Linked DNA regions of Oreochromis niloticus. The protein of the gene in region 2 purifies or fractionates together with the protein of the main gene of each other region. This does not show direct contact. Links are inferred from orthologs where the notes say so. Each region holds a gene or a part of one and is shown on either strand. Other genes may lie near its edges.

Region 1 (16,085 bases), on a different chromosome or scaffold from region 2:
GAGTTCAGGGGTTAAATGGTGAGAGCAAAGCTAGGTGTGCTGCATGTACAATATTTGTAAAGCCTCTGTGTACATAAGTGACGTGTACATTAGACTGACTGCAAACTTATCTGAAGTAAAGGACCAGTAAGCTTAGCTCAACAGGTCTACTTGGTGTTACCTGCTCTGCCTCTTCTTTACTCATAGCCAAAGCCAGCTGGAGCTGCAGATCTTCTTCTCCAGAGCTCTGTGGCCAAGCCTGCTCACTATCAGCACCCCCAGAGTGTGAACCCAGCGACAGGCTGCCCCCCAGGCTGGGTGCAGAGGGGGCTGAGGAGGCTAAAGTGGAGATAAATATGCACAGAAGGGACCAAACCCTCTTATAAATACTGTAATACTGCAACTGTGACCACTGGATCAGTCTGTTAACTATTTAGAGTAGGTGTCTCACCACTGGAGGTCTGTGCCATCTTCTCTTTGGTTTTCAGGGCGTGGATCCTCTCTTCTCTTAGTCTCTCTTCATCTTTTAACAGCGTCACCAACTGTTTGGCTTTCTCTCGAACATTCACACCCTGGAAAAACAAAGCAAACCACTGTTAATTTTACACATCACATAAAACAGATACATTTATTTACAAAATCAATTATAAAAGCAGTTACTTATACGGCAAACTGTATTGTTTTAAAAGAAAATGTTTTAACTCAAGCAAAGCTCATTTATCAACAACCAATAAAACTTTTATGGCTGGCTTTGTGTGGTTGCACAACAGGTCAGAGACACCTAGTCAAACATGCTGCTTGTAGTTTAGTCAAGGACATTTTACAGTGTGCGCCTGCATTCCACAAATGTGGACTTTAATCACCACTGACTTCACCTTTCTATTCAGCTTTGAAGGCATGGGTGTGTCTGTGTACCTGGTCTTTGCCATCTCTGTCTATGTACTGGAAATCCTTGAGGGTCTGGACTGCGTAAATGTTCTCTCGGCACTGCTGGGCAACACGTTCTGAACCCGTTTTGATCAGGTACTCCATAAGAGTCATAGCCTTGAGAAAATGGAGAGAGCTGTAAATATTCAAACACAAAAATCCCCAAAGTAAAAGAAACCTCTAACACACAAAAATAAAAACAAATATTTCAGCTTTCGGTTTTTAATCCCACACAAAATTACTGACCATCTCTGTACTACAGACATAACTACTCCATGGATTTCCATCCAAAGCCCCACAACCTTTTAGGTGGCAATTATCCTCTGTTGCAGACACTGCGGAGTAGTAGTTATTCCTGGAAAACTTTCTTTAAAGGGTGCATAGGTAGTGCACTGTTTGGTAATGTCCTGTAAACAAATGTGGGCGATCATAAAAAAAAAAGGAAAAAAAAAAGAGGCAGACGTGTTGACGTCTACACACAGCTTCAAGCTAAATGTCTGATGGGAGGCTTTATGTTGCTTGGACCCAAGCAGCGCACTTGCAGACACTGAAACTAAAAAACACCTAAGCGTGATGTGTCTACCACGCTGTTTTTTTAAAGACTACAGCTGTGCAATTAGGTGAATCTTAATTTTGGTTTCCAGGAATTTTTAACACGAGCTGATTCAGATAGAAAGATTATTATGCTGCACTCTGTTTTGGATATTCCTTTCCTTTACTGTAACCTCTTCTTCCAGCCAGGCAGATGATTTAGTCTGGTTCATATTTATTTGTTTATTTAGTTTTTCAGTTGAATTAAAGTTTATGGAAATACACTTGCATAAAAGACATCATTTTTCTTTTACGTTTAGTCAGTCTATTTTTCCATAACCAAAAGTTAATTGTAATCTTACTATTGAATACAATGCGATTATGATTTTTGCTATAACTGAGCCACTTTCATTCCAAAGGTCTGTACAAGTTGTGCCATATCTTTACAGATTTCAAAAAGACTGTGTTCGCCATTGTCAGCTTTTAGGAAGGCACCCAATCACCAAATGAAGGAGGCGTGGGATAAATGCTACGTCGACCAATAGTCACAGTGGTGCTCTGTGTGTGTAAATGCCATGAGACTAGTTTGAAAATAATGCTTGAAGGAACATTTGGATCCTCTGGGTCTCTCAGTTAAGCAAAAAGACAGAAATATGCAGAAAAATTTAACAGCTTGCACACTCCAGGATCCCAGGTTCACCTTTTAATTAAAGCAGATATCTGATGAACTGTTCTAAACAACTGACTTTTCAATACCTACAATTAAAGTAGCATGGTTTATTTCCTTTGGATGAAATAATGACAATAATATGCTGTGTTTTGGAGTTTTCCCATGGTGTTTACTGTCTTGAGTTTAATCTATATTGTTATTCCCAACTTTACTTCTGCACTCACAAACCTTGTACACATGTCTCCAATTCTTGCCATGGTCATTGAGGCGCTTCCACACCATACTCATGATTTCCGAGAAGGCCACGACATTGTAGGTAAGATCGGCGATCTCTGACATAAGGGAACTGCTGGGGCCCCATGGGTCATTAGACGTCGCCTCCCTTACCTGGACACAAAAACACACAAGAGGGTTAACTATTAATTATTCCACTCAAACCGACTGAGATGGGAATTATTTCAGACATTACTTTGTGACATCTTGGTGCACAGTGTTCTGAGTAACAAAATAAATTCAATCAGATCACAAGCTGCAGAGAATAATGAATGGGTACGATATGATTAGATTAGCTCATTCTCTACATAACAAGGGGAAGAGTGAGGAGGTTCTCCAAAGAAATATTAGATTATCAGAAGCCGCATAATCTCATCTGTGTGGCAGAGATGCATTTGTTACACTTAAGTCCTAGATACAAAATGGGAATGTGTGCAGAAAAAGAAACAGAAGAAGAAAAGCCAGCTAAGAAGCCAAGAGATACAACCTTGATTTCAGCCTCTGAATAGTTGTGGACGATGTTCTTTACTTGTCGCCGTAGCGATGAGGTCGACATGGCAACGGTCTGGCCACCGAGCTCTGTTGAAAGCTGAACAGCAGATGGGCAAGAAGAAATATAAAGTATAGTTAATACAATACAAATAACATGTTTATTTCCAGGGCACACAAATCAACAAGACTTACAACCAATAAAACATCCAGCAAGAAAGACGATGAACACTTGAAATACTCGTGAGGAAGTGTGCGTATACAAGAGTCTACAATCAGTGAGTGGAAGATGGCACTGGTAACCCAAATCAGCATGAAACGAGAAATAAAGACAACATCGTGCGCACCTGTTACACAAGACTGATGCAGGAAAAGGGTCTCTCCTCTTGCTATATTGCCGTTCCTCTATCTTGGCTGCAACTCATTCATGGAGTGCTTTGTCACGGTTTGTCTGTTTCTTCCCGTGGCAACATTGGGTCCCAAAACCGCGGACTAAGGGGGATGAAAACTAGGGAGCAGGATTGAGATTAATGTAAATGCATTGTGACTTGGATACTTCTGCTACAGCACAACAAGCAGGCTGAAACTGAATCTGTGACTAAATCTAAAGTAACCATTAATAAAAATTTTAAAAAACAAAAGGACAAAGGAGATATTCAGCAACAAATGTCACATGATCTGTTGCTGATCCACACATGCTTCACAGAGATACAACTTATCAGTTAAAAGCTTTATCTCTTATTAGAGTGAACAGTTTAAAAATAGGAATGTAGTCATTTTAAATATGACCATCTGACTGAAAGCCAATGGAGATATTTTTTGTCTTTTTATTTACTTGTCAAGTGAAGAGTAATATTACAATCTACACTATAAATAATTATTCAGTGAGTTTTAAAGTCTGTTTTCTCTTCTTTACATATTCTTTGAAAATTTACCCCAGGCCAAACTGATAAATACAGTTTACTGACAATGTTAAATTACATCTTTTAGCTGCCCCCCCCCCAAAAAAGCTGTTATAATCTGTGCATCTATGCAAAACATAAAATCAATCAATAAAAAGAGCAAGAAAGTGTGAATGAAAACAAAATAAATTCCTGACAGAGACCTAAACTGTAGCAGTGAATTTAACTGGATGAGTTTTTACAGAAAAAGATGGCAAACAATTTGGCTTCTCAACCTTGATTCCTTAACAAAGTCAATAATTTAGTTTTCACAACTAAACATCTAGGCAACTTCCAGCTTCACACCAGGGTAAAACTATACAAGAGTAGCACTAAGATAAATATTTTAGAAGGGTTCAGTTTACTTAACTCCAGGTACTCTAATCATTACACTGCCAAAAACTTTAATCTTGAACCCATATTTGCAGGCCTCAAGAGCAGAATAACAGATTATTAAAAACAACATATCATCAACCACTGTTGATAATAATCAGGGACAGATCCACGTATGGATGTCAAGAAAATGGTACACATGGTTAAAACAAACTATAAACTTGAGGCAGATTTTAAATGAGTATTTTAATTAGAAGAGATTGATACCCAACAAGTGTGGGAAACTTTATGGTGCAATAACGTATAGTTTCTGTTTTGCAACACCACTGACAGTTCCTGAATTTGGTCTAAAAAAACCATGGACTTATCCTGTTTGCTGATGGAGAAAGAAAAAAGGCACGCAGAATGATTTTTGTGGATCAGCAGCACATCTCTCACTACCTGCTGAGCTTTTTTTAGTATCTGATTGCTCACGCATCAGGTTGAAACACTGTTGCTGACCAGATGCAAGCTCTCACTGCCACAATCTGCATTTTCTTGCGTAACAGATGCTACCTCAGCTTGTGCCACAAAAATATTGTCAGGTCCATAAGTATTTGGACACGACAGAACCATTGAAGGAGCTAGCCACACTTTTCTGTTGTGAACAGAGGCAAAACTACAAAAACAATCACTCTGGAAAACAACTGGAAAACACTGATCATCTTACTGGTTGATGCTAAGGAATTCTCTGTACTGGTAACTTTCAAAAATAAAGAGAGGAAGTACATGGTCTTTCCTTTATAATATAATAAATATCAATTTTTCCCCACCCACTATATGTGGATCTTCCCCCAGTTGGCAAACCAGCACTGGCAAGAAACATTGCCGCTCTTTCCGATTCTCCAGATTCAAGCAGATCCTTCTTCATACTGAACCAATAAAGTAAACAAACTGACTTCTACAAACAGCATGCTGGTTACAAACTGGAGATTTATTAGTTAAAGAACAAAAGAAAAATAAGATTTCAGCCCTGACTGCTTGTTACTTATTAAAATAAGTTGTAACTTGCAGTAATAAATTAACCTGTTGGCAACGATTAAACCAGTGGTTCCCAAAAAGTGTGGCTGGATTAAAAAAAACGATTGATTGAGATAGATATATATATGTATATATATATATATATATATATATATATATATATATATATATATATAGATAGATAGATAGATAGATAGATAGATATATATATATATATATATATACACACACACACACACATATACATATTACTGTAACTGCATAATAAGTAACCAATGAAATTCAGATGTACTACATTAGTTGACATGAAATGACCTGATTGACAGTGAGAAGGATCCAATTTGTGCAGTAGTAAAACTGATCACTTTCTTGTGTAAAGAAAACCACACACAACCACTTTAAGATCGAGAACTGTCAGGAGGAAATAAGCCACAAAAATACGCTTTTTTTATGGCTTCAGCTGGACTGGGATGTTAATAGGCTTTTATTTTCTGTAAGGTTTTAACAAATGTGAACGCTGTGCCACACAAGCAAGACAAACCTGGAAACCTGAGAGAAACTTAGTCTATCGTAAAGAACTAAATGTGAATCATAGTCAGTTTGTAGGACTTTGTACAAGTGTCTGATAAGGGGATCCAGGCAAGTTGCATGTTTGCGGAGTTTACTGGAGACCAAAAAAAAATTGTAGGTGTCACACTTAAAAGTGCTTTCATCTGACACAACAGCTAAAATAGTCATTCACGCCATTTTAGCTGAGATAAAGGCTAGTTTCTGCAGATATAAACAGTGGTTTAAAGTTTGAAAACTGCTGGGTCATTCCATCACAAAACAAAGTGGGCCTTCTGCTCGAACATCTCAGATATCCCTAAAAATTATATGGTCCAAAGTTTGAATTTACATTAATATATGAAATACTTCTCTAGCTTACACTTTGAAATTTGAGGCCATGTTTGAGTCCGCACACTTCAGTAAATATTTAAGATAAATAACAGAAATTTACTATACGAAATGATGAATCAGGATCTGTAATTTCGGACAGATACAGAGTAACTAAAATATGGAGAAAAATGAAAGCTATCTTGTAAATTCCCATGTTTGTGAAAAAGAAAGAAAATTACATTTCAAAAGACGACTTAATAATTTCTGAGTGATATATAATTTTATTTTAAAATACCACAAAATGAAACGTGCAGAATATTGTTTTGACATGAAATTCTTAGTTAATTATTAATCCAATTTCCAGTTTCAACTGAGAAAATTGTGTTAAATACATGCACGTTCTTAATTTTCAAGACCTACTGCACTAGATGACTCGGTTTAAGTTTAAAATATACTAATAATATTAAAAATGCAGTGAAAATGTACGAAAAAGAGAGGCACATCAGACAAGGTTGAGCAGAAAATGTTCTTAAAAATTGGATGATTTAGGATGGTTTGGCTCTAGTGTCACTTTCAAAAATGCTTTCATCTGGCAACACAGCTAAAACAGTTGTTCACACCATGTCAGCTGTGTGAAAACCACTGGATTACACATTTTAAATGGCACAAAATGAAAGCCTTTAGTTCGGATACTATACGAAAAACATAACCGTTCCAAACATCATTAAGTGTTTTAAATCAGCCTGACAGCTAATAAGGGGTTCAGATTTGTAGGTCAGATAAACATGAGAGCATGTTGCATAACTGAACAGAAAGCAACCATTGCAAAAGTCAGTTCAGAGACTCCTGAAGCCCAGTGCCAAAGTTCAGACACGCCAGCTAATCCGTGATAACCATGATAAGTGACATAACATACCTTTTATATATCTCCTCTTGTCAGATATCGTCAGTCTGAAGCCACACTGAGGGGAAAAAATCCCCCACAAAGTTTCAGTAAGTATCTCAGAAGCACTACAGTACACAGTTTATCAGCCTTAAGCACTAAAAATACACAGATGTCTCACTTAGATCACATACAGAACAAGCTATAAACGCTGTAGCGCTTATTTACTCATAAGTCACGTCACAGGAAGCTGCTCTATATGAAAGATGGATTGTATGGTTGAAGCCAACTACAAAAGGCGAAAAGCAGGCATAAGTGTTAACTGATTTATTCTTCCTATCACTCATATCCAGCTAACACTGCACAGCCTCCCGAAGATGTGACCCCCACCCAGATAACGTTAACGACCCTGCCAGACAGATGCTGAGCTCCCTGTCACACCTATTAAGATAGCAGGCTAACTAACTGATATGTTAGCAACCAAACTGTCATCTAACGTATTTCTAGCTGCTAGCAAACGCTAATGTCCGCTGTAAAATGCAACACACAGGTCTTAAAACGAACATTTTTATGTACCAAAGGCTTAATTTATCAACTAAAGGTGAGCACCAAACTCTCTTATTCTCAGCTAAGCTAATCGAAACTGTTTGCGATCACTTTGCTATCACAAAGTCTGGGTGTAGTACAAACAGGTGCACGGAGGGATTTAGTTAGGTATAAAAAAAAAAGCGGGGGAACTAAACAGAATGAGTCGTTCCTGTCCTAGCGCGGAATTATCCCAAACTCGATAAAAAGGTGAAGGTTACCTGCCACTTTGACTGATAAAAGAAATCACTTTGCTGCTGTTGCTGCTCGGACACATTAGCCAGCTAGCCTGTTAGCTGTTGCTAGTTCGCTACATGACTGACAGACCGTACGAGCTCCAGCTTCACGTCCTGCTTTGGGACACTACTGAATACACGCATTCAAGAGTCAAAAAAGGCTGACAACCCGGCACAATAAATATCTAAAATAAATGTCTACTGACCCTGCTGTAGCTTGAATGTACGAGGAGATGGCCGAATTTCCGCTTCCGTTCTCGCCTACAGGAAAGACCGCACCCCCTGTAGCTTTGTTTTCCTGTGATGGTAGTAGGAGACTCATGAATTATTAATTGAGACGAAAAGAAAGTCTCAAATAAAGAGATATCGAAATGATTGTTTATTACCGTTTAAATTCATTCACTGATAGACAGGGGGTATGTTTTTAAAAGTTCTGAGATAAATTTCCTTTTTAATATTCATTTTGTGTCAAAGGGAAGAACTCACATCCTCTTTTTGTCATTATTTTTGTTTTCGCACGTTTGTTCCACGTTCTCCAGACTTCTCAGAGATTTAAAAAAAAAGACTTTGGGTGGCTAATAGACAAGAAAACGGTTTGAAAATATAGAAGGTGTCTTTCTGGGTTCATTTCTAAAAATCCTAAATGAGGAACTGGTTTCACTAATGGCAATAAAATGGAGAACTTGCCCCTGATTTTATATTTTTAAACTGTGATCATAGCTGGACTGGCCATCGGGCATACCGGGCATTTGCCCAGTGGGCTGATGGTGATTTTTCGTTTTTATGGGCCAATGGTTTTTTATGTTTGTTTTTTTTTTCTTTTTTTTGTCTTTTGTTTTTTTGTAACGGTATAAACAATGAAAGGTGGTGTGACCAATGTGTAAAATGTAAAAATAACTTAGTTGTTTGGTGGTGGCTATGGCGGAGCTTCCATAGAAGCCAGCAGGTAAATGAGGGAAAGGGGAGGCAGGAGGAGGAGAGACCCGAGGTGGCCGCCGGTCCGAGTGTCAGGTGAACTGAACTTCAGGTAATAATGATCTGCAGTCTATCTGGGTCAGATATAAACCAAGTTTAGGTATAGTTTATTTTCATTGTGCTGACTTTTTACAGAGTTTCTATACAGCTGGGTGGGTGCTATGATGTTACTGATAGTGAACTTTATTTTATTCATACGGTTAGTTAGTAGAGTTGCCAACCGTCCTGTAAAAAACAGAATCGTCTGGTATTCAGAGAAAATATTACACGTGTCGTAATAAGCTGAAAAGGAACAGTTTGTCCCGGACTTCAGCTAGAATGAAAAAAAGACACAAAGCTGCAGTTATTCTGTGTCTTTATGCTGTCAGCTGTTTCTTCTTCTCTCATTCTCTCCCCTCCCTCTCCTGTTGCTACTTCAATCATGAAACTGATCAATGATCAGCTGATCGGCTTTTCTGACCAAGTCCCGTCTGTTTGTTTATGTCCCACTTTGCGCCAGAAAGAGGAAACCGGCGGATGTTGCGCTAAACAACAGCAGCAGGTTTAAGCTTGATCAGCTGTTGTTAGAATTTATTTAATATTAATTTCTAGTATCAGCTGAGGTTTGCGGGAGCCACAGCCGTAAAAGCTGCTGGTTATGATATCGGTTTGGATATTCTGGTGAGAGGGAAACATGAAGCTGAAACCAGGTAATGTCCTTACTGAATCATCAGAGCTGAACAGGTGATGGAGAAACAGGTTTACCTTTTAGGTGACATGAATGAGTTGAAGGGAAGTTATGAACAAATAACACCAGGATCCTTTTCTAAGTAGCTGACAGCTGGTAACTGTGCAGGGGCGGGTCTAGCAGGTTTTGCCAGGGGGCCAGGTAGGGCATTAACAGGGAAAGGGGGGCACAAAGAAATACTTTTGTTTCTTATTCTCATTTAAAATGTCTCGCTTTTAATAAATAATTATCTGAATCTTACCACCAAAGTTTTTATCTGATGTAAAATGTACAGAAATCATACATATACCAACAAGACAGTGCACATCACTGTCACAACAGCGTTTGTTTTCATTCAAAGGCTTTATGGCTTTTCCTATAATACCTGGTGGGCCAGTCTCTAGTCAAAATGCCCGGGCCGATTTTTTGTCCCAGTTCAGCCCTGATTGTGATAGAAAGTTTAATATTAGACGAAGAATACCCAAGGAAACACAAAATGCAGTTTTTAAATGATGATTTCATTTATTAGTGGAATCCAAACCTAGCTGGCGCCTCCTGAGTAAAGGAACTGCCCCCTTATTAATTAATGTGAAGCACATTTTTTTAGAAAGCACAGTTCAGTTTCTTTAGCTGTCTCCGGGACTGATTATTGCCAACCTGTTGATCCGAGAAATCACTTAAATAGTTCCTGTCTGACAAAGTGAAATACGCTAAAATTACTCCAAGAGCACATTAACGACTCATTCAAGATGTCATAAAAGAAGTAAAACTAACACAGCATTTCATAAAAGAACATCATACCAGCATTCAAACATGTTAGTTTTAATGTGATGGTTTGGGGCTGCTTTGCTGCTTCAGGACCTGGACTACGTGCCATAATTGATGGATGGAACCATGAATTCTACTCTCTACCAGAAAATCCTGAAAGAGAACATCCGGCCATCAATTTATACCCTGAAACTTAAAGTGAAATTGGGTTATGCAGCAGGACAAGGATCCAAAACACACCAGCAAACCTAACTCTGAAACAAGAAAATGAAGGTTTTAGAGGGGCCTAGACAGAATCCAGATTTAAATCACATCGAGATGCTTTGACCTGACCATAAAAAGCTTGTTCATGCTTGAAACCGCTCCACTGTGTGTGAATTAAAACAATTCTGAAAAGATAAATTACAGGGATGTGAAAGACTTATTACCAGTTATGACTGATTGCAGTTCTTGCCAATGCTGGCCCAACCCTTAGCTTTAGGGGGCAATTATTTTTTTCACATGGGGCAGATAGATTTGCATAGCCTTTTTTTCTCTTAATAAATGAAACCATCATTTAAAAAATGCATTTTCTATTTGTTCAGGGTATCGTTATCTAATATTAAAATTTGTTTGACAATTTGAAACATGTAAGTACACTGTAAAGTCTAATATTCTGCTTAATTAAAAATACTAAGTAGGCTGAACTCAGAGCTTGTTAGAACTCAGTTTAAGTTACCAGTAAGTTTTGTTAAAAATATAAACATTTAGTATTGCTTACTCAGAAAAATCAAGTTATTTTTAGTACTGTGTACCCACAATGAATAAGTTGGCCTAACTTAGTTATCTTAAGTATGCTTTACTACTTTTTTTTTTTTTTTGCATAATTTTTTTAAGTTCTGGAAACTAATTCGATTTTATGGTGTATTAAAAAAATATGCAGAAAAAAAATCAGGAAAGGAACAAATTATTTATTTATTTATTTTACATTGCATCATTTAAGTAAAATTACTAAGACTCTGTTTTGATGTTGTTTAACTGAATACAAGCCTTCTTGTCAGAGTGTGAAGACCCATACGCACGCTGATGATACGGAAAACATTGAGACATATTTGAGCAGGAAGTATTTCACTTCTTAATGAATGAAAACTGAAAGTCACACCATAGGTTTGGTGGTAAATCTGTGGTAAATCTTAAGATTTAACACGCAGCAACAATTTCTCCCCAAAAATGCAATGACCCTCACCGTCCACAGAGAGGCATCCTTGAACTATCTGGTGTGACACCAGACCAGCTTTGCCTTCCCTGGGACCATGAAAAATACCCCGCAAGCCTCCTGGATCAGAACAACAGCTGGCATGCATGTGTGTTACAAGTTCCCCTTTAATCCTTCATCTCTTTATCCCTTTATCTTTCCCTTCTCTCTGGGGAGGAGGGGATTGAAGAAAACATTGCAGCGTGACTCAAGCAAACTTGTAATGTTACTCTGCTTTGGAAACACTAATCTTATAAGGACAAGCAAAATGCCGGTGATTATAACAAGTATAAATTATTCTGACAGGTGTCGTTCCACTATTATGTCACGCTGAAACTTTATTTAGTATTTCCTCTGTGCCCACTCCCCCAAGCCGTGTCAGGAGAGAATCGTTACTTTGTTTTGAAAGAAAGAACTGGACTCAGCCTGAGGAGGGGCTTTTGAAGAGGAGGAATCAAACAAACTAACACCGAAGCTCTCACGAGATGCTCTTTTGAAAGCCTGTGCTGTCACTTTCTGGATGTAAATAACATTCATCACTGTGGATTCTTGTCTGACAAATGAACTCTCAGATCAGTTTCTGTTCATTTTATGTCTAGTTATTTATGTATTACTAAAGACACATTTTTTTCTGAGTAGGTATTTGTTTGTAGGCTAAACCCTGGAACATTGTGTACGTATCAAGTCCTTTTGTCACAATCACTTGAATTAATAATTTATCATCATGCTGAAATTGCCTTTTGTATTAGTCTGTATAAGTTTGTTTTGTTGGCCTCTTTTGAGCTCCCGGCTATTCAGTAAATGCAGTTGCTTCCATTTATTTATGTATTTATTTATTCATTCCTGTTTTGCCAATGAGTGAGTTGATGGAAAATCAGTTTCTTTGAAAACTGAACCTGTAATACTTTGCTTATCGGCTGCTCAGTACCTAACTATTACTTTGCCCCAAGACAAACTGACTGAAAGATTCTGCATCAACTCAAGACTAACTGAAGCAATCCATTTTTTAGGCACTTTCATTTTATTGTGAACTAGAGCGAGGTTAGAGACAGAGAAAGAGAGACACAACCATTCACACTCACATTGACATCTATGGCCAATTTAGAATCATCAGTTAACTTGGCATGCTTGCTAACATGTCTTTGGACTGTGGGAGAAACGTACAGAGGGAGAACATGCAAACTCCAGATAAAACAACCTGTCTCTGTTAGCTGGAGGCTCGAGGCTCAAACACAGGACCTTCTTGTTGTGAGAAGGTCGTGTTACTGAGATAAACCCATCAAATATTGCTCCATTTGTCTCATAAGTGGAACGCCTAGTAATATTTTTTACATTATCATCAACAAGAACTGTGTGATGGATATAATCAGTTGTGTTTGCCTACTTTCAGTTTTATTTATTTTGTCTATGTTTAGACTGTATCAGAGTAGCTTTGCATGGTTTTGCATGGTTCTACTCAGTCTTGGTGAAACACCTCATTTTCATCCGCTGGCTGAAACAAGCAGCTTTAGCTCGTTGTTAAACTAATCTTATTTTGTCTGGCTGCCACAACAGTCCCATGCCCATATTAAGACATCCCTGTGACATCACAGCAATAGAAAAAAAATGTCATAACCTAAGCCTTTAGAGCAACTTTTGGCTCTTATAGATCACTTTAACACACACTGACCTGTTTTTTTTTTGTTTTTTTTAAAAAACATTTAGCCATGTTTAATATGAACTTTCATCAGTGAAACAGAAAATAAGGACAAAATGTCCTACCCATAGATGAAAAAATAAAATAATAAGGAAACACAAACATACCAAGTTGTAACAGGATTCTTTTATTTCAAAATGCACAAGAAAGTCAGGCTGTTTGGTGAGGTGACTGTGCATGTCTGTTTCTGAAGCCTGATATAAATGATTTGGTTAGGATGATGTGATTACCATCATTATCATACTTATCAAACCCCAGTGGATAAGGGCAGTGACATCCTGAAAGAGACTGCTTTCATTAGCATGGAAATGTGTCATCGCAGGATGAAGGTGACGCTGGACTATTTGTACTAATTTGCACTGACCCATTCCTCTGGGAGATAAGAAGACTAACCCGTGCCAGAAAAGATCCCAACCAGAGCATAACTCCAGCACTGCAGGGGTCAAGGGTTCAGGTATAATAAGCAGAGACCATTCCCTCGAAGAACATGGAACCTGGACAAATGGGGTCCACATTGTGTATATATATCCATCTACTGTATATTATGTAATGTGCCAGTAAAGCAAAGGTGAAAGTTTGTGTGAAACATCATTAGCAACCAAGTGGGCAATCTGTTTGCATTTTTTACATGCATGCTTTACACACAGTATTTGTGAATGAAACCGACTGCCTCTTGGCATCAAAATGACAGCAGTAAGAGTTTTGTTGGTGGAGTGGGGAAGTTGGTTGTCACAGCAGAGGCCAAAGAGCCTTGTGGTACAGGCACAAACATGCAGCCCGTCGGTGATGACCAGCTGAGCACAAGCAGTGGTGTTAGTAACCTGAGAAGGGACTGGCCTGTTGTGATAGCAGCCAGTGTTTGTGTTACATAATGCACAGCCAACAATCCAGTGGCAAGAATATGTCTATAGTATGTAGTACCAGGGGAAATCTATCTGAGCAGACAGAAAGAGGAGGAGGGTGTTGAAGCTATGGGAGGAAAGGCCTGACCTACAGCTGGTGTTAAGTAGGAAATAAAGCTGGCATTTAGATCAAGTATAGAATTAAGTTTTATGTCTTTCTTTTAAACTAAGATTTCAGATGTTATTAATATGAGTCTGATGATTAATATGTGCTTGAAAAGAGAGTAAGTCAGATAGTGTTGTGTGACAAGAAGAGGAATTATGATGACTGATGAAAACCTCCATTTATTGATGTGATGATTATATTTTAGTACATTTTGATTTTGATCGATTTTAAGTGCCTCCATCAGAAAGTGGCAGATATCACGGATAAGGAAGAGAGAACATCAATATTTAACAATAAAATGCTCTGTAACTATATGCTGTAATCCCAGTAAGATTCAGGGATCATGGATACAGCTTGTTGGCCTATTCCAATCATTCCAGCATACCTGTTGATTAAAAGAGGAATCCTATACTGTGTGGGGAATTCACTGACTCAGACAGGCTGAGAGGGTGAGAAAGAGACATGGAAGGAAAACGAGGGGGTACAAGGTGAATGACAGCTGAGGAGAGGGGAGGCAGGAGAGCGATGGGTTAATGTGGTCAGGCTGACTGACAGATTGGAAGAGGTGGGATATTAGCAGTGCTGTGCAGTAGAGAGGGGGGCACGGGGAGTAGGAGGTTTGAAATGCCTTGTAGCTGGTTCGTGCGTATTTGCCAGCATAACAGGCCAGAGGCGGAGAGAGCGGGAGTCTTGGCACAAGAGTAGGAAAAGAGAGGGAGGGAGTTAAGCATGTGTCTCATGGGGAGAAACACACAGCCAATATCCTGGTCTCCAGTAAACATCTATAAGCCTCCTTTATAAAGTCAGCTGTGCTACTGCATGGAACAAGGGAGCAAAGGCAAAAATATCCACTTTGATTATCAGTCTAGCTGCGAACATTCAGTAGATCTGCAGCCCTGAACAGAAGCTCCCTAACAGGAGCCTGTCAAGTTTTCAAAGAGTCTTTGATTAGATGGTGAAAAGAGCAGAGAAAACTGAGTAGAGATCATCCAACTGAGCAGAAAATGACAGTAAGTATTGCACATTATTCCTGTCCATCCAAACCTTTACATCTAGTTTTCAGAGACATATTTGTGACTTTAATCAAACTCATAATGTCAACATGTGAGTGCAGGAAAAACTACTATCAAGAAAACAGTTATAACGTGCATGTGCAGACAGTTTGGAGGTTTTCTGTAATGCCTTAATGATTTGCCTCTAGCTGATGGGATGGCATGCAGACGCTGCATGAATACACTGATGACTTTTTGCTACAGCATTTCTCTTTGGCTTCAGACTGTATCGTTAAGTGGTGTTTCAACTCCCACTGCTTGACACTTCTAATGGACTTCAAATTAGTTAGTGATGAGTTACATAAAACATTATAACACTTACTGCTTTGTGCCAAAAGCCATTAACTATTAGGGTTTTAATTAATAATCACCTTACTGTCTTAGGACATGGCAAATATCAGCACGCAACCAGTGTCTTAGATGCTTCTGTGTGATTAATGTGTAGGAGTCACTAAATCACTCAGCTAAACTGTGACCTAGATAGAATAAATGATAGTCATTTTCATTTGAGCATGCGTGGAATGAGGAGCAGCAAAAGAATCTGACAATGCGATAACTTCAACTCGTGTTAACAGCTCCGGGAACGGAATCCCACTGAGGCTTAAACTCATGGAAATGTGCTTAAAAACATTTCAAAATTTTGCTTTCATGCATGTGGAAGCTGTCTGAAATGTCACGTTTGATCCTCTTTGTGATATAAAATGTTTTAGTTGCTGCAGAGCGGAGTCTGTTGTTGCACCTGCAGCATTAATCTGTGCAGTATCAATCCTCAAACGGGCCATCATTAGTCTGTTTAAAATACAGCTGATCTGCACAACGTAATGCTCTCAGGCTGGTCAAAACCTTCAGTTTGTTGTTTTCAGTATTGGCTGCACATCAAGTCTATCAGTTTCCTTAAAA
Region 2 (16,412 bases):
GTAATAACAGAGCCTTTGTAAAAACTTTTTTTTTTTTAAGAGAGATTGTTTTTTTGTGCCGCACAATAAGCCGCCTGGGTTTACAAAGCAACAGAATGGAGGGCTGTGTATGCTGTTACCTGAGAGTTTAACGCTTAATGCTGAATTAAAGGGGAAAGCGGTGCAGACTGGACTCAATGCATAACTTAATGGCCAAGTGAGAGAGATTTGACTGGCAACTGTTTTGCATAAATCTTCATAAAAAAGCTACCTTCCCTGAGACATGCTGTTTCTTTTCGTTTTAGTCCAATGCTTGATTTTATTCATGAATTTATTCTATCGTTTAACTGTTGTTAAAATGAGCAGTGCGACGGTCCCACTCAGTATTTTCTAAACGTTTAACTTATAAATCAAACAAATGATGCTGATAAAAAAAAGCCAACTGAGGTAAAATATCTAATCAAACTTTGAAAATGAATCGAACTTTGTCTTTTGTTACAACATCATAACCGGCTTTATGTAACACAGTAGTAAGTCTGTGTGAACGGGTGAAATTGTTTAATTTTATATTAAAGTGCAAAAAAACTTGAGCTAACTTCTTTATAGTTTGCTTCCAATGAGCCAGACTTGTAATTTTGTTTCAAGTGGTCTTAGGGGATAGCTCTCTGGGCTTCCTGAAGGTCCTTTGCACATTGGCTGCTTTTTCACATATCAGTCCAGCTCTTGTAACTCACCATTTTCATAGGGATTTATTTTATTTTGTTTTGTTAAGCACTTTAACATTGATATATGAATCATTCAAGCATAAAAAGCCACCTTAATCAAGGGATGAACCAGTGTTGTGTCTACACATAACAGACAACTTAGCAAAGAGCCAATTATAAATTGTATCTTTAGCCACTTTATCGTACAAACACCTAATTTGTTCCTTTAGTTGAATCTATGAAAAATTCCATCACAGTTTGACAGGCATTGCAACAACAGCATGATTTCTAAAGAGGTATTATACAAAATTAAAAAAAAAAAAAACATGGCATATCTCAGCATGCCATTCACTGTGACCTTAATAAAAAATTAAGAAACTGGACATGCAAAGGACAAACAAAAGGTTACAGGCCTAAAAAAAACAAACCCTGTGTTCAGCAGATGAACAGCATCTAAAAGTCATGTTCTTAAGAAAGAATGGGAAAAAAACAGCAAAGTTTATCCATCTACTGGTGACATTAGAAATTGCCTCAAGGTGGCTGTCAAGAAGTCGTTCTTAAGGAAGGGAAATGAGGAAGAAAAGGCTGAGGTATGCAAAATTACACAAAAACTGTATTGAAAATCAGCGACAACAGGTCGTTAAAGAGTGAACAATCCAAATGTGAAATGCTTGTTTCAAATCCATCATCCAATATATGGATGCAGAAGAATGCCTGTTGTATCTGACATTTACCACAAGCCATAGCGCTTTGCTGTGGATGAAACAGACTGTGTAGGCTGGACTAACTGCATGACTGATTAGGCAGCGGACACAGATTGAATTAAGTTTTTCATGCAATGATTCCACAGATTCCGTTATTTAATCTATTTATTTATTGTTGAAAAATACACTACTGTGGCACCCACTGTTGTTTTCTAGGAGGATGGAGTAAAATATGTCTTTGCTTAAGGATTCAGAGAACTGAGCATATGCACTGCATGTGGTAGGACTTATATTTTCTGAAGGTCTACAGAAAATATAAGTGAATGCCTGTTTCTGGCTGCTCTGTTTTCAGACACTGAGCTGAAATGCATTCTTATTGAGAAGTGGAAAGTAGTGAGATGAGATGATCTAAAGTGAGTGAGATTTCCATGATGCCACAGAAACAGATTTACATGTGAAAAAAGTTGTGTTGTTGCTTGCTTATACAACCTACAAAGCAGCTTTCTTCCACTAGCTCTGGGATGTGTTGTGCTATCTTACCAAATATTAATAACAGTGGGGCAAAAAAACCCATAGAACTGACACAAATCACACATTTAACATTTTAATAGAGGAATTATTGAAGGGCCGTCGTACTGAACTCGAGCTGTGTAGTGAAGTATTTTTAAAATATAAAAATATAATGCGTTCAAATTAGAAAGTCTTCTTTAAAAGGATCAAACAACAAACTGAGCAGCGTACAACGAACATTTTTATTTAATTTCTACTTCTACAAGTTAATAAAAACATCTAAACACTGGAATGTTATAAAATGCAGGTTTTAAACTGCAACTTCTGAACGAGTTGTTAGCTGTAAACACAAAGACCGGATCATTTATATTAGACGCTCCTGAAAATGTTACAGATCTCACATCCTGAATGCTATTCAGTGCCTCTGTAAGTGCTTTGCGCTGTCATTTAAAAGCCGAGCTGCGCTGCATCCTTCACCACGGAGTTCAAGGCACTGAGATCTCTCAAGAGAGAGGACACCCCCACACAATACCACAGATCCCCAGAGCGGTCTGCAGGAGCACTGAAAGACTCAATCTCCACTCCCTCTGTGGCCAACACTCCTAAACAAAGAACAATTGAAGAGAGAAAATAGGTGTGAATGGAAAGAAAAGAAACATTGGTGAAGGTTACAATTTAGTTCTCATAACTCAGGGCCAGCTTTCATCTAAATTCAAACTCAAAAACAAATGTGCGCAAAGAAGCAGTTGAGGAAAAACAACAAGAATGCATGCTTTGTTTTCAGAGAGACAGTTTAACAGACATGCAAACTATCTACCACCAACCTAAACTTTCCATTTAATTGTTCTGAAGTGAGAAACAATTCTAACTCTTTACATTGTGTTGAAGGTTACTGCCTTAGCCTCCAAAACTGATGGAACTAAAGGAAGTTAAATTAAATTAATTTGTAAAAGACTGAAAAGAAACTCAGTTACTGATTGTGAATGTTGAATATACATTTGAATATACAATGAGGGACTGTTTGTGCATTCTTTCTAATGTCCAGCAGGTGGCGACTCTATTGCACTACTGGTTTGGACCTGCTTTTTCTCTCTCTTAATACTTTGTTGCATGGATTCAAACAAGTGCTGAAACAAACCCATATTGATATGATAGAATTGCACAGTCGCTACAGATTTGTTGGCAGCACATCTATGCGTCCACCATGTCCCAAAGCTGCTCTACTGCAATGAGATGTGATGACTGTGGAGGCCATTTGTGTACAGTGAAATCTTTTATAATCACAGATTATAGTTTTGACGTCTACATTTTCTTACCAGCCAGTGAGGACAGGAGTTGAGGATTCGCAGGGGCCTTAAAGAAGAGCAGATTTCCAGTGAGAGAGATGGGCTGTCTGAACACGCTGTTGCACAGCTCCAGGAGGACAGGCACTCCACCTTGAACTGAACCGCTGGCTTTATAGCTGCAGCCAGTGGCCGCAATCTCCACCTTACACACGCCTTCAGCGGCCCCGGCAGATGCACAGTGGGCCTGGTTAACCTGAAGAAGTTGAGATAAATGAAAAAGATTTATTTGACATATATTCCACTTGTTTTTCTCATGTTCTATTTGCCTGAATAAATTGAAGGTGTACCGTGATTCCAGTTTCCTTAGCTAAGCTCAGCGCGTTGATGAGGTTCGGGCAACATCCTGATTCATGATTGAGTAAACCCACCAGCACAGCTGAAGTCATGTAACCAGTGGAGGACTTCATGCAATCCCCTGGTTTGTAGAGCAGAGTGCAAAAAGCTTTTAATTACAGGCAAAATATTTTAAAGTAAAACTGTTTTAGAAAAAAAAAAAGACAAAAGAAACTACACAGAAATGATTTTCCTATAATAGCTTATAAACCCACACGACTGATTTGACAATTTCACCGTGACACCAGCAGAGGGAGGAAAAACTGCTTCCTAGTATTTTTCCTTCCTATGAGATGAACTCTCCTTGAGGTCGCTTGGTTACAGGAAACTGGTTAAACCAGAAATGTTACCTTGAGTAGTGATTTGAACATGACTGAATGGTTTCTTAGACGCGCTGAAAGACTGAAGAACAGATCCAACGGCTTCTCCGAGTTTAATCAGTTGCTGCGACTCCTGGGAGAACGTGCTAGCCAAGACCTGAGCATTTACCTGCACAAGGAGAACAGTTTAAAATCTGTTACAAAATCTTTTTTTTTTTTCTTTTTTTTTAAAAAAGGTTATTACTTATTTTAGGGTTTTTTTTTTTTTTTACCAATACCCTCCAAATGTGATCAAACTGGATTATCAGCTGATACTGTTTCCTGCTCAGTCGTTTCTTTGTATGTATCACCACTGTTTGCTTTATGCTTTTTGTACAAAACAAACAATAAAATATATCAGTTTTAAAGCTCCAATGTCCAACGTGCAGCTGTCATATTCAAAATAAACTGCAGCACTGAGGGCACATGGAGTAAAAGAAATAAAGAAAAATTTAACTTACAAATTCCTGAGACTGACGGTTTTCTGCGAGCATTGCTCACTTGTCTTATTTTCAGAAACAGTGGTGCATTTTTATTTTTTATATTCTTCACAGCTTTATAATCATCTGCTTATCTGATAATACTTGACTTATTCTGTCCATTTTGTGCAGATGAAAAGTGAAATGATGCATCAAATTCCCACTCTATGGCAAGTGTGGACAGAACCCGAAGCAGAAAGCCTGGCTTAACAAAGAAAGCTAATAACCACTGCTGTGATATCCATTAGGTTCCTGTTTTCTTCTCACCTGCTGCACGACAGTCTGTAAAACAGTCCACTACTTCCTGTACAGATAACTGTGGGTATGAAGTCTGATTTGTTGATAGTGATGCTTTGGAAGCTTGAGAATATTTAGGCTTCCAAAGCGATTCATTTTACACAAATCCGCCAAACAATCACTTCAGTAGCCCTTTAGCAAATTTATAACTCTGGTCTGAGGAGTTATTTTTTAAAAACAGTATTAAGAAGAGCATGTAGGACTTACTGCTCCAACCAGGTTCTTTCCCTTCACCATGTCCACGATCTGCAGGGCAATGTCCTCCCCACAGCGAGCCTGAGCCTCCTTCGTACTGGCTCCTAGGTGAGGGCAGCTGATGACGTTGGGATGCTCCACCAGTGAGTGGTTCTTAGGTGGCTCCTGTAGCCAAAAACATAAAGACAATGTGAAATTTAAGCAACAACCTCTCTTTAATTAATAAAAAAAATCAATCAAGCAATTTGACAAAAAGAAAAACCTCCACAAAGACGTCAAGGCCTGCTCCTCCACACTGTCCAGACTCCAAGGCTCTGAGCAGAGCCTCCTCATCGATGATGCCCCCTCTTGCACAGTTCACGACCTTCACGCCTTTCTTGCACTTGGCAAAGCTTTCATCGTTAAGGAGACCTTGGGCACATCAAAAAGAAATTCCACATCTTGCTGATGGACTTTGCACCACCGTTATAATCGACCGACATATGATTGGTGTTTAGCTCACCAACAGTAGAGGGCAACAGGGGAGTGTGGACAGTGATGTAATCACACTGGGGCCAGAGCTGCTCCAGAGACATCTGTTCCACCCCCCAGGTGGCTGACACCTCTGGAGGAGTGATTGGATCATAGCCAATAGTCTGTTAAGGAGAAAACAACCTGTCATCTTTTTATGCCTGTTTATTTTAAATATCACAGTAACTGTGAGCAGATATTGTGCAATTGTGTGCTGACCTTCATGCCAAATGACTGCATCCTCGAGGCGACCTCCTTTCCTATTCTTCCAAGTCCGACTATTCCGAGCACTTTGCCGTACAGCTCTGCACCCATGAACTGAAAAATCGGAAGCAAAACAATGACCCACCTCCAAAACTCTGAAAGTACACAGATCCAAGTGTCCCATCTGATTATTCACAACTGAGTGGACAATGGAGCCAACCATGCAACAGTAATGGCTTGATGCTCCCAGTGCAAACAGCCGTTCAAACAGCACACTGGAGAGCAAGCGAAAATGCTTTTACCTTCTTGCGATCCCATTTCCCTTGCTTCATTGACATCGCTGCTTGTGGCACATTTCTGAAAACAGATCAACGTAATAATGGAATATTACTGCACTTCAATTAGAACCACAGAGCTTCTCGGCAATTGTTCAGAAATGACATGACTCGTCTTGCCTTGAGAGGCTCATGAGCAGAGCACATGTCAGCTCAGCAGCACTGATCGTGTTGCCACTCGGCGTGCTGCAGAAAAACACAGTTATAAAGTAAAGTTAATGGTATACTGGAACTGCACAGTGAACCAAATCTGCATTTAAAGTGGAGACTTACTTCATGACAATAATGCCCTTTTTGGTGGCGGCAGGAACATCTACGTTGTCCACACCGGTCCCAGCTCTTCCAATAATTTTGAGATTATTAGCAGCACTGATAACATCAGCTGTTACCTTGGTTGCAGATCTAACCACGAGGCCATCATAGTCCTGAGATTCAGAGAAAAGCAGAGCTGATGTTAATTTTCTGTTTTAAATCCACCCAATAGTTCACACAGAGTCAATGAGTGTCAGTTATTTTGAGCAGCATAAAAACTGTGAACCAGTCAAAAATCCTATGCCAGGATATGATATACTTACTAAATAATTCTCATTAATTCCTCATTTCTAACACTGATCTTTGGCCTGTTTTATGCCAAATGATTTACCTCTGTCCAACCAGAAGTGTTACAAGACAGGTTATAGTGTTTTTTTCCCCCTGTTACAATGTAACATGGACTTCTATAGTTTCCCATTGTCAGGGGGACACCTGTTAACCATGCAATAAAATGTGATTTTATCTCTCTGTCTGTGTCATGTCATGTGCCATGACATGTCATGACATGACACAGACTTTGTTGGTCAAAGCTTGGAGAAGGCTGTGTTGTGTTGTTTCAGGTGCCGAGTTCTGGGTTTGAATCTGCCCCAAGACCATTCACTGTGTGTCTTTCCCCTGCTCCCCAATTTCCCTATCTTCTTTCCACTTTCCTCTCTAAATACAGACTAAAAAGCTAAAAACAAAAAAACAAAACAAAAAACAAAGATCTTAAAGAAATAAAAAAAAAAAAATGGTTGAAACTGCAACAGTCAAAACTGATCAGGCTGCAAAATGACATCTGACTGATAACTGATAACGTTGCTAAATAGTTGTCAGCAGAGTGCCAAACAACATCTGGTTCGTGTACACACACTACTATTACCAGATGTCATTCTTATTAACTAGAAAGAACACTTTTAAGCCACTTATGTTGATCTTCATGTAAATTCTATCCCATTTGTTGCATGGTGATTTATTAGCCTGTACTGCACCCAGTTATTAGATCAGTTAGCTCAGTGTGAGAGATGAACACTTTGAGTTGCCCTTGTGGTGTATATTCTTTACTTATTTTATTCTAGAGGACAAAAGTATAATAAATAATTAAACAATTCTTGAACATAAGCTTTTTCTTGCTAGAAAGCCCAACAAGGATGTACAGGCATTATTTAAGCAATACAGCCAGCCCATTTTCATTTCAGAGCTTTTTTTTTTTTTTCCAATTTAAGACTAGATGCTGAGAAAATACAGCCATCCAATGGTCATTCAACATTGAAATGTTTATTGAGAATAGGCTAAAATAAATTTTTAAAAATAAATACATTTTGGACTGTAGGGGGCTCCAAAAGGCCCACGGCCCCAGGGTGTACAATAATGTTAAGACACCCCTGCAGGGGCCTTATGTCATTTAGGGCACCAGAAGTTTTAGAGCCAGCCCTGTACAGTCCATTCAGCTCCAACAGCTCATCATTTCTAATCTGACAAATCGAATTTGTTCAAATATTCTCAGACATACACACATTGGCTCTGTGGAGAAAATGTGGGATTAATGGAATAGTTTGGGTTGGGGGTAGAAGTGGAATCAATGGCCGCCCGATGCACTTGCAGCAGATAGGAGGTCGGACTGTGGGCAATAGTCACAACACCACGAATGAGTTGCATCAGCTTCACAATGGGCGGTACTAACCGAATAAATCAGTTTTTAACTGGCTGTCGGGATCATTTAATTACACGTGTCAGGTTGAATTGTGTTACGGAATAAAAAATGCCAGCTGCTAGTCCGCAAAAACTTTTTTAGGCGTGCAACGTCATATGCGCACCGATTAGAGCGAAAGCGCCTTTAGACTAAACTTTATAGAAACCTGCTTTGTAGGAAGAAAAAAAAACCCCGACAGCGGGTGCATGTGAAGAAATTACGCAATATAACGCAGAGTGCCATTACTACCTTTATCTTCGCGATTAATTCATCCTTAGTCATGTTCTGCTTCTCCGTGACTCGGATGCCATTTTCCTCCAGAATCGCCTTGCAGCGAGGGTCTACACTTTCACTGATCAGCACGGTTTTGATGGAGATCGGGGCCATCTTGGTATTTTCTCTGCGGGTCGCTCGCTGGTGGACCACCGGTGGGTGCTGAGTGATCTGGGAGAAGAGATGGATGGATGGATCGGGGAGTGCTTTTTTTTTTTTTTTTTTTTTCCTTCTGCCGGTTTTGAATGGTTGTCTCGGATTTAAGACGCCCCCTTTCTACGTGGATCCGCCTCTCCTGCACCTCTCAAGTCAAATCCGAACAATGCATACTGGAAATCCTGGAAATGGCCTGCATTCAAAATAAAAGTGCAGAAGTACTCTAACTGAGGCTAATACTGGCTTTTCGTTAGAAAGAATACACGTAGTGCTGGTTCAAGGTTAGCAACAGCCTCCTGTTAAACTGGATCAGCGTTATTTATTATTTTGCATATTTGTCACATATACATGTAAATACAGAAAGCATTTTTGAAACCATAATTCAAATTATTAAGTGAAAAAAGCTATTCCTAAAGCTGATATCTACTTGTGCCACTCCTGGCAGCAAGAACTGCAATAAAGCTTTTGTGATAACTGGCAATGAGTCCTTCACATTTCACATGGAGGAATTCTGGCCCACTCTTCTTTGCAGAAATGCTTTAACTGAGCCACGGTGGGAGACGTTTGGTGTGAATAGCCAGTTTAAGGTCAAGTCAAAGCATCTCAATCACAGATTTGAGTCCGGATTTTGATTTTGCCATTTCAAAACCTTCCTTTTATTTTTGGGGGGACATTCAGTGGTGGACTTGCTGGTGTGCTTTATATCACTGTCCTGCTGGATATAACCATGTGGCAAAATTCGCAGCAGAATTCGTGGTTCTATTAAATACAGCAAAGCCGCCACAGGCTATCACACTACCACCACCATGCTGACGTGATGTTTTGTTTTTAAATGAAATGCTGCATTAGGTTTATGGTGGTCAGAGGGCCCGGTGGCGCCAGTGTCAGTGCGCCCCAGGGCAGCTGTGGCTACAATGTAGCTTACCATCACCAGTGTGTGAATATGTGTGTGAATGGGTGGATGACTGAATGTAGTGTAAAGCGCTTTGTTGTTTCTTTAGATTTTGAGAGCTTTTAGCCTTCTTCACATTGTCAGACAGGTTCTATTTAAGTGATTTCTGGATTCAACAAGTCTGGCAGCAATATGGCTTAGTATTAGCTAATGAAGCTTAACTTTCCAAAATCAATGGTTTATCACAGTTAATTCATTATGCCTTTTCCTATAGGGCCAGGCTTGTAAACCTTTTTCCCTCGATAAATAAAATCCTCATTTAAAAATGTCTATTTACTTGGATTTCATTTGGATAGGGTGTTTTATTTTGTACATACTTTTATTTGTCAACTTTAGATTTTCTTTAACTGATTGCTAGGTTTTATTTTATATGATGGGATAGTTTTATATATATAACAAGGTAAAATATTGTAAGTTCAATAGAGCAACAATGGCTTATTAAATGTAATACAGGCAGTATAGCAACTATTAGATGATATTACTCAGTGTAGCTTATCCATACACCAGTCCCTACTTCGAGACTCTAAACGATGCATAGTTTTTAGTTATACCAGGTATAATATATGAATTGTGCGCTGTACAAGAAAAAAAATATTATTCTTATTTCCGACGTTCAGTTAAACTCTGCTACAAAATGAAAACAAATTCTAATCATGAGGTATTGATTATGCTTATTTCTAGATCCATATTTTGTTTCTCAGAGTTTACCAGCATAGCCTTGCATGAAACACAGTTCAGAATAACCTTCAAAACTCTATCAAATAACTGAGTATAAACTATAACAGCTTAAACATAAGTAGCAAAGTAAAGGATCTGAGAGATGTGATCACCTAAAGATCAAATTGGTCCATAACTGTCCCCATTTAACAGTAAGTTAGGTCAGGCGAGTCTTAATTCAACAGACACTGTTCATCACCTGACTCATTAGGCAGCACATGACAGGCCATGTTCCACTGCTGGCTCAGTAAATTTAGCACATCTGTCATGGTCACACAGCTGCAAATGCCTAAAGGACCAGATTTTACAATGGATTTCATAGATCAAGATCTTAAACAAGAGTAAAGACAACAAAATGACTTAATCTGAAATTGCCAGGAGTCCTATTACAAACCAAAATCATTGTCCAAATCAGAGACTCCATCTTTGTCATCAGATTTCCCATCATCTTTAATTAGTATACTGTAAACAAAAGTTTTATGAACCATTCATCCGTTACTTTCAGTTACTCTTTTAACATTTTTTTCATAACTACAAACTTTATCAGTGGGCATATTTTGACACATCAGAGTAGTAAAAGCACCATGGCTCAGTTCTACTAACTCCCAGCACGTGACTCACAGGAGGACTCAGCCTGAAGACTCTGCAATGAGAAAAACTTTACCTGCTTGTTATTTTTAATAAACCAAACATTATACTTCTCAGCGTTCTGGTCTATGTTTGTAAGAAAAAAATAAAAGTACAAATGTGGTGCTTAGAAAAAATTAAGTTACATATTTGATGTTGTTTTAAACCATAGACAAGATTGTTCTTTCTAAGTTAAGACAACCACTTTTCTCCTCTTGGTGTCAGTGAGATAACTGAACATGCATCCCGATGCAGAAATTGTGTATAACTCAGGAAAGAGCACAAAATAAAGTGTGACACGCCATTCATTTTCCCTAGTTTATTACATAATGAATTCAGAGTGTATACAAGTGTGTATATATACACTTGACTGCGGTATAAAAAACTATTGTAGATCAATGGATTTATTGCCTACTAATTTGAGAAAACAGAGCTTTCTCTCTGTGTTCACATACTCCAGGCTAATCACTTCCTGAGCCCCGCTGTTCCTCCGAGGGCTCTGCCTATCAGTATTTAGAGGATGATTCTGATTGGTTCCGTCATTGCCTGGATACCACGCAACAAACGCAGGCTACGTAGAGCGGACAGTTTGACGAACGTCAGCTTACAACTATAATAAAATAAAATAAAATAAAATAAAATAAAACCTTTACTTTGTTTTTTGTATTTGGCATTATTTTCTATAATAGTAACCACTCCATCCGATAGGAATGGCAGCGGTGGTTCTGTACGGCCGTCGAAGAGGAGCTAGTAAAAACGGTGAGAGCCAAACAAACATTTCAAAGTTTATTCAGTCTAGTTATATAGTTAACCTTTGCTACCAGAAGAGCCGTTTTAAGCCATTATTTGAACCAAAAACTCTAGATGGAGCCGAATGTAATGCTCATTTATTTAAGCTATTTGTTTGTCGAGGCTATTAGCCTATAAGTGCTTTTGATTTTAAAGTCTTTCCAAGATCCTGCTTCACTTCACTTCAACCAACAAGTACAGCTATGAAAGTCAGTTAATTGACAAGTGGGATGTTGTGGTTTCTTCTCTATATGAGTATAATATCTTATAGGGACCTAGTAGGAACCTTGGTGTGATAAGTGGTTGCTGTAGCACATGCTCCAATGGTAATTTCTTTATTAATGTGTCAGCAGATGAAGCCATTAGAGCTATGCAGCCACCAGACCTCCGACATGTTACTGTCTTAAGTAAGGCTGAATGGCTGAGGATTCAAGATGAACTGAGTGGGGTTAATAAAGAAGAGAAGAGAATAAGAGAGGCAGCTAAACAGCGAGAGAACCTACACCTGCAGTCACAGGAGGTGGTGAAACTTTGGCCTGATACCCTCCATGTAAGTTCTATGTTGAGAGATATTTCCTAAGATTAAATTTATACTATTAAAGTCATGTGCACTTGCTAGGTTGAAAAGAGCTGGAACACAAAGGCAAAAACACACTGCATCCATATGTCTTGTCACAGGGACAAAGGCTGAAAAGGCTGCAGGAAAAGAAGATTCGAAAGGAAATTGAGGAGGAGCAAATGAGACTGGCTGACTTAGAAGAAGCAAAATACCAGGAGCAGAGGCGGAAGGAGATTATTGAAAAAGCCAAGACTCAGCTCTACTGTCAAACCGACAGAGTCAAAGGACTACATGTTAGTCTCGCTTATGCATTATTATGCCACTTGAGTATGAAACTGCACAATTTCACCTAACAAATGATTACTACTTCCTCCACAGAGTGCACTCCTGCTGACAGAGGTGCTGAAGGAGAGGGATGCTCAGATTGAGCTTAAACAAAGAAGAAAGAGTGCCAGTATAGATGTGGACAAAGCATTTCTGCATATGGTACAGACTAGAGAGGATGAAGCCTTGAAACAGGAGCAGGAGAAGGCACTGCAGAGGAAGCTTGTGAGACAGGTTGCTGCACAAGACCTAAGAAACCAGTAAGACCTAACAATCAGGCTCCAGCTGTATGTGTTAAAAATTTAAAATCCCCAAAACACCACAACCGCAGGACAATGACAATTATATGATTACTTTTCCTCAGAATAAAGGAAAATGAGCTGCTGAGAGAGCGACAAAAGCTGGAGAGCAAGAAGGATGGAGACGAAATCCAGCGTCTCCAAGTGCTGCATCAGCTGGAGCGAAGGATGGAGGCAGAAAGACAAGCAAATCAGAAAAGAAGCCTCATGCAAGCTCACCAGGTAGGCTCTTATTTGAATCTTATCTAGTATTTATTTCACTGGACATTAAGTTTATTTAATGCATTTTACAGGAGCATATCACCAACAGAGACCTCATAAGAGCCACAGATGCTCAGAAACAGGAGGCTGAAGAGGAGCAAAGGAAACTGTTTCTCTCTACTAAGCAAAAAATCATGAAGTTACGCAAAGAAAAAGAAAAAGAGCTGCTTAGGTAAGACTGAGTAAAACAGTATATATCAATAAATAGCTCTGGATCAAAGTATCTCCAGTGCTAAATCTTCTTAAATATAATGGATACTCGTATGCATTTTCTTCTATAGAGAGGCCCAGACACGTAAAGAAAGGATCATAAACAGACTGACGGTCACACAGCAGGAGCAAGCTGTCAGCGAGGAGCAGAAGATCGCAAAGGCTGTCGCAGAGAGGGAGGCGAAACAGGCGCAGCAGCAACTGGAGGAGGATGAGAAGAAAGCTGAGATGTTGAAGTCCATCAGTGTACACAGAGAGCTAATGGTATCTCAAACCGAGCATGAAACATCCAGTGTGTTTCCTCTATATATATATCCTCCAATGTGTCTTTTCTGTGTAGAGAAATCCATATTGTTGCTCACAAAATTTCATCACGTCTGTAACGCAAACTGTTTTACCAGAGACAAGAGAAGGAGGAGAAGGACAAAATAGAGAGGAAGAAGGCCCAAGAAGCACTGCAGGCCAAAAAAGAGGCTGACAGAATATTTACTGAGAAGCAGCAACGAAAGGTTAAGAAAATCAGAGAAGAAGAAAGAGAGGTGCAAGACTTCAATGCTGTGCAAATGGTAATGTCGGCCAAAACGTAATAAGTTTTGATCAGAAACTTTGCACCTTCTTCACTGAAACTCTTTTGCCTTTGCCTTGCAAATACAGGCTGGAAAAAGTGCCAGACTTCAGCAGCTGAGAGAACAGGAACATGAGTTTGAAGCGAAGAATGCAGAACTCATCGCTGAAGAGGAAAACCGCTTCCAGCAGTATTCACAGCAAATCATCAACGCTGCAGCAGAGGCTCAGCGAAACGTGTTTCCACTTTGTAAAGCTGCGAGGGAAGGGATCGGAGGTGGGTCCAGTCCTGTTTTTAGTGGAGTCAGGCCAAGTTACCTTGTTCAGGACCGCACTGGAGCTCAGATGCCCAAATATGTCTCAGTGGCCACCCAGAACATCAAAAAGCTTCACGAAGCTGTAGATATTCAGGATGCCAAGAGAAGACTTGGATTCACATGGTGATAGGTTACATCCAGTTTGAGTGCACTTCCAGAAAGCAGGTTCAGTAAGTGTGAGTTTGTTAACTCTGATATGAGGGAAACACTGTTCCTGAATCAGGCTGTGTGAACCTAACCTGCTTGCTATCAGGTTTCATGAACAAACTCTCAAACCCCTCCTACACCTGAACCAGCCGATACACTAGGTCTCACATCCACATCCCGGAAGCCCCTATCTTCAGTTCTGTCACCTGCATTTTGTCCCTGTCAGATTTGGAAATCAAATGTAAAATAACATAGGACTCCAGCTTCATATAATGAAGATTCAAGTATATAACTTTAACTTTATGTGTTTAAACCCATTTTGCACAGAGAGACATTTTTGAAAAATGTATTGATAGCAATGTTGAATATTATTACACAGGAAAAAAAACAACTACACGTAAAATAATTACACCCCTCTGCCTTTCTAAATGGAGGGACAGTAACTGCGTGTGTATATGTAAGCGTGTAAAACCTGAAGATAGTCAGATTAACAGTATTTTGTCTCTATCTGCCATTCTGCAATTCATCTCATGTAAACAATAACGTGGCGCACAGCGTGACGTGAAAAGAGGCACATACCTTTGACGTTGCGTGAGGAACTCTGTAATCCTCGTCCACACGTAAACGCAAAAAAGGAGTTTTAAATAATCTCCGTTTTCGGTGAATCGCAACGCCGTTTAGGTGTTGACGAAAAGCCCAAACGCATAGAAACAGCTGAGTTTTCAAAAATACCCGTGGTAGGTGTGGACATAGCGTAAAAGAGTTAGTAGTGCATTTTATTACTACCTGTAATTTATTGCCGTTTACTTGTATTTGCTTAATTGTTTACTAAATGTTTGAGGTGTAAAATAAATCGCAATGGAGTTTGTAAACAAAATATGGGTGTGTGTGTTTGGAGGATGTGTTTGTGCGGCCGGGGAGGGCGCGAACATTTTTCTTGTAAAAAAGGGGGGCCTGGCAAAAAAAGTTTGGGAACCACTGTAGTAACTCAACCTCTTGTGCCCTACTTGCAGTACTTTCATAGCCCACTAGGGGTCCATGACACAAACTGTGGGAGCCACATGACCACTGCCCTGAAGGGAAAGGGCTACACTAAAACGTTGCTGCTTTATGCTGACTTCAGCGTGGTTAATATAGAAATGTAGTGTAGTACATTAATCTTTTTGTGGTTATTGTGAAGTCATATAATGTTCTTCTTAAACAACAATGTTTTAAAGAGCTCAAACAAGGAACATGCTTATGTGCCCCAATAACTAATATATTGCTCTGAAGTTCGAAGATGATCCAATGGAAACTTAAGCTTTTTCATAATTAGAATGATCTTGAACTTTGACCTTTAAGCACTATTTACTAAAAGTGCATTTTATAATCTTTACCCATATGATTTCAGCCAATTCTGCTTCAAACTTTGGCTATATAAACTATAAAACTTGAGATTTTAAGATACTGAAGTTTCACTCTGCATGAATGTATCAATGTGACGTTGTGGGGCATTGTATTATAATACAAAAAGTGTGTTACACAGCCCTCTCTATGCCCTTTTATATAGTACTTGATATGGTTTCTAGAATTTGTTTTTTAAGGTCAACTTTAACCTTGGGTGCTAAGAATAAGGGTGCTTATCCAATCTTGGTATTCATGTCCCCCAAGGTCTACTATATATTGAAGGTTGAAGATTAAACATTTTAGGGAAAAAAAAATAAAAATTACATCAGCTTAGCCGTTATGGCAACTACAATCACACAAAATTTGAAAATTATATCTTGAAAACTGGACACTAGACTAAGACAAACAGAATTCATACTCCCTTGCTTTGAGGGGAGCAAAAGCACATCACTCAGAACTTGTTATTTGAAATTATGGAAAGATGACTCATCCAAACCAAAAATAACCTCTGGGAACTGATTTCCACTGCAATGACAGAGTGATACAACCACTGACTCACTAAAAGGTAATAATTCAGTGTCACTTTTCCGTAATAACGGTATCACTTAACGCTGATGTGACTGGGACAGCATTTACAGAATAAAAACAAAAAACAACGACTTAAAAGCAAACAGAGCCTTTTAATTCATCAAACACTCCAGCAGTTCTTAAAATCAGTTTGAACCAAACGGAACAGAAACAAACTGCTTTTATCTTATACTTAACAGCTTGGCATTAACATTTTCTCTTTCAACAGAATTACAGTAAATGGTTAAAAAAACAAAAGAAACATCATGGGTGTACACACAATGACAAAAAAAGAGCATGCAAGACATGAGTGTTTTCTTCCAGG

What was found.
Region 1: the proteins of phgdh (region 2) and epn1a purify together in Homo sapiens (affinity purification with mass spectrometry; 3 studies listed by BioGRID and IntAct, with this or other methods). This does not show direct contact. The link is inferred for Oreochromis niloticus from reciprocal best matches to the Homo sapiens genes PHGDH and EPN1.

The regions. Positions count from the first base shown.
Region 1 is NC_031976.2:22,687,456-22,703,540, forward strand, and holds the start of epn1a (epsin-1), read right to left. Parts: upstream 8,061-16,085; 5' UTR 7,953-8,060; intron 7,942-7,952; exon of another isoform or gene 7,732-7,941; intron 7,527-7,731; coding exon of another isoform or gene 7,449-7,526; exon of another isoform or gene 7,011-7,448; intron 7,005-7,010; 5' UTR 6,959-7,004; intron 3,378-6,958; 5' UTR 3,217-3,377; intron 2,970-3,216; 5' UTR 2,937-2,969; coding exon 2,868-2,936; intron 2,495-2,867; coding exon 2,336-2,494; intron 1,024-2,335; coding exon 895-1,023; intron 552-894; coding exon 431-551; intron 319-430; coding exon 161-318; intron 1-160. Other genes in the region: putative serine/threonine-protein kinase SBK3, read left to right, coding at 7,449-7,526. UniProt on the Homo sapiens protein: Binds to membranes enriched in phosphatidylinositol 4,5-bisphosphate (PtdIns(4,5)P2). Modifies membrane curvature and facilitates the formation of clathrin-coated invaginations. Regulates receptor-mediated endocytosis.
Region 2 is NC_031987.2:16,020,599-16,037,010, reverse strand, and holds phgdh (D-3-phosphoglycerate dehydrogenase), read right to left. Parts: upstream 8,432-16,412; 5' UTR 8,327-8,431; coding exon 8,189-8,326; intron 6,381-8,188; coding exon 6,229-6,380; intron 6,142-6,228; coding exon 6,076-6,141; intron 5,978-6,075; coding exon 5,923-5,977; intron 5,735-5,922; coding exon 5,636-5,734; intron 5,542-5,635; coding exon 5,409-5,541; intron 5,318-5,408; coding exon 5,169-5,317; intron 5,072-5,168; coding exon 4,919-5,071; intron 4,066-4,918; coding exon 3,927-4,065; intron 3,659-3,926; coding exon 3,531-3,658; intron 3,437-3,530; coding exon 3,214-3,436; intron 2,500-3,213; coding exon 2,345-2,499; 3' UTR 1,978-2,344; downstream 1-1,977. Other genes in the region: cfap210 (coiled-coil domain-containing protein 173), read left to right, coding at 11,375-11,423, 11,807-12,003, 12,132-12,305, 12,391-12,596, 12,701-12,857, 12,929-13,068, 13,178-13,352, 13,508-13,672 and 1 more. UniProt on the Homo sapiens protein: Catalyzes the reversible oxidation of 3-phospho-D-glycerate to 3-phosphonooxypyruvate, the first step of the phosphorylated L-serine biosynthesis pathway.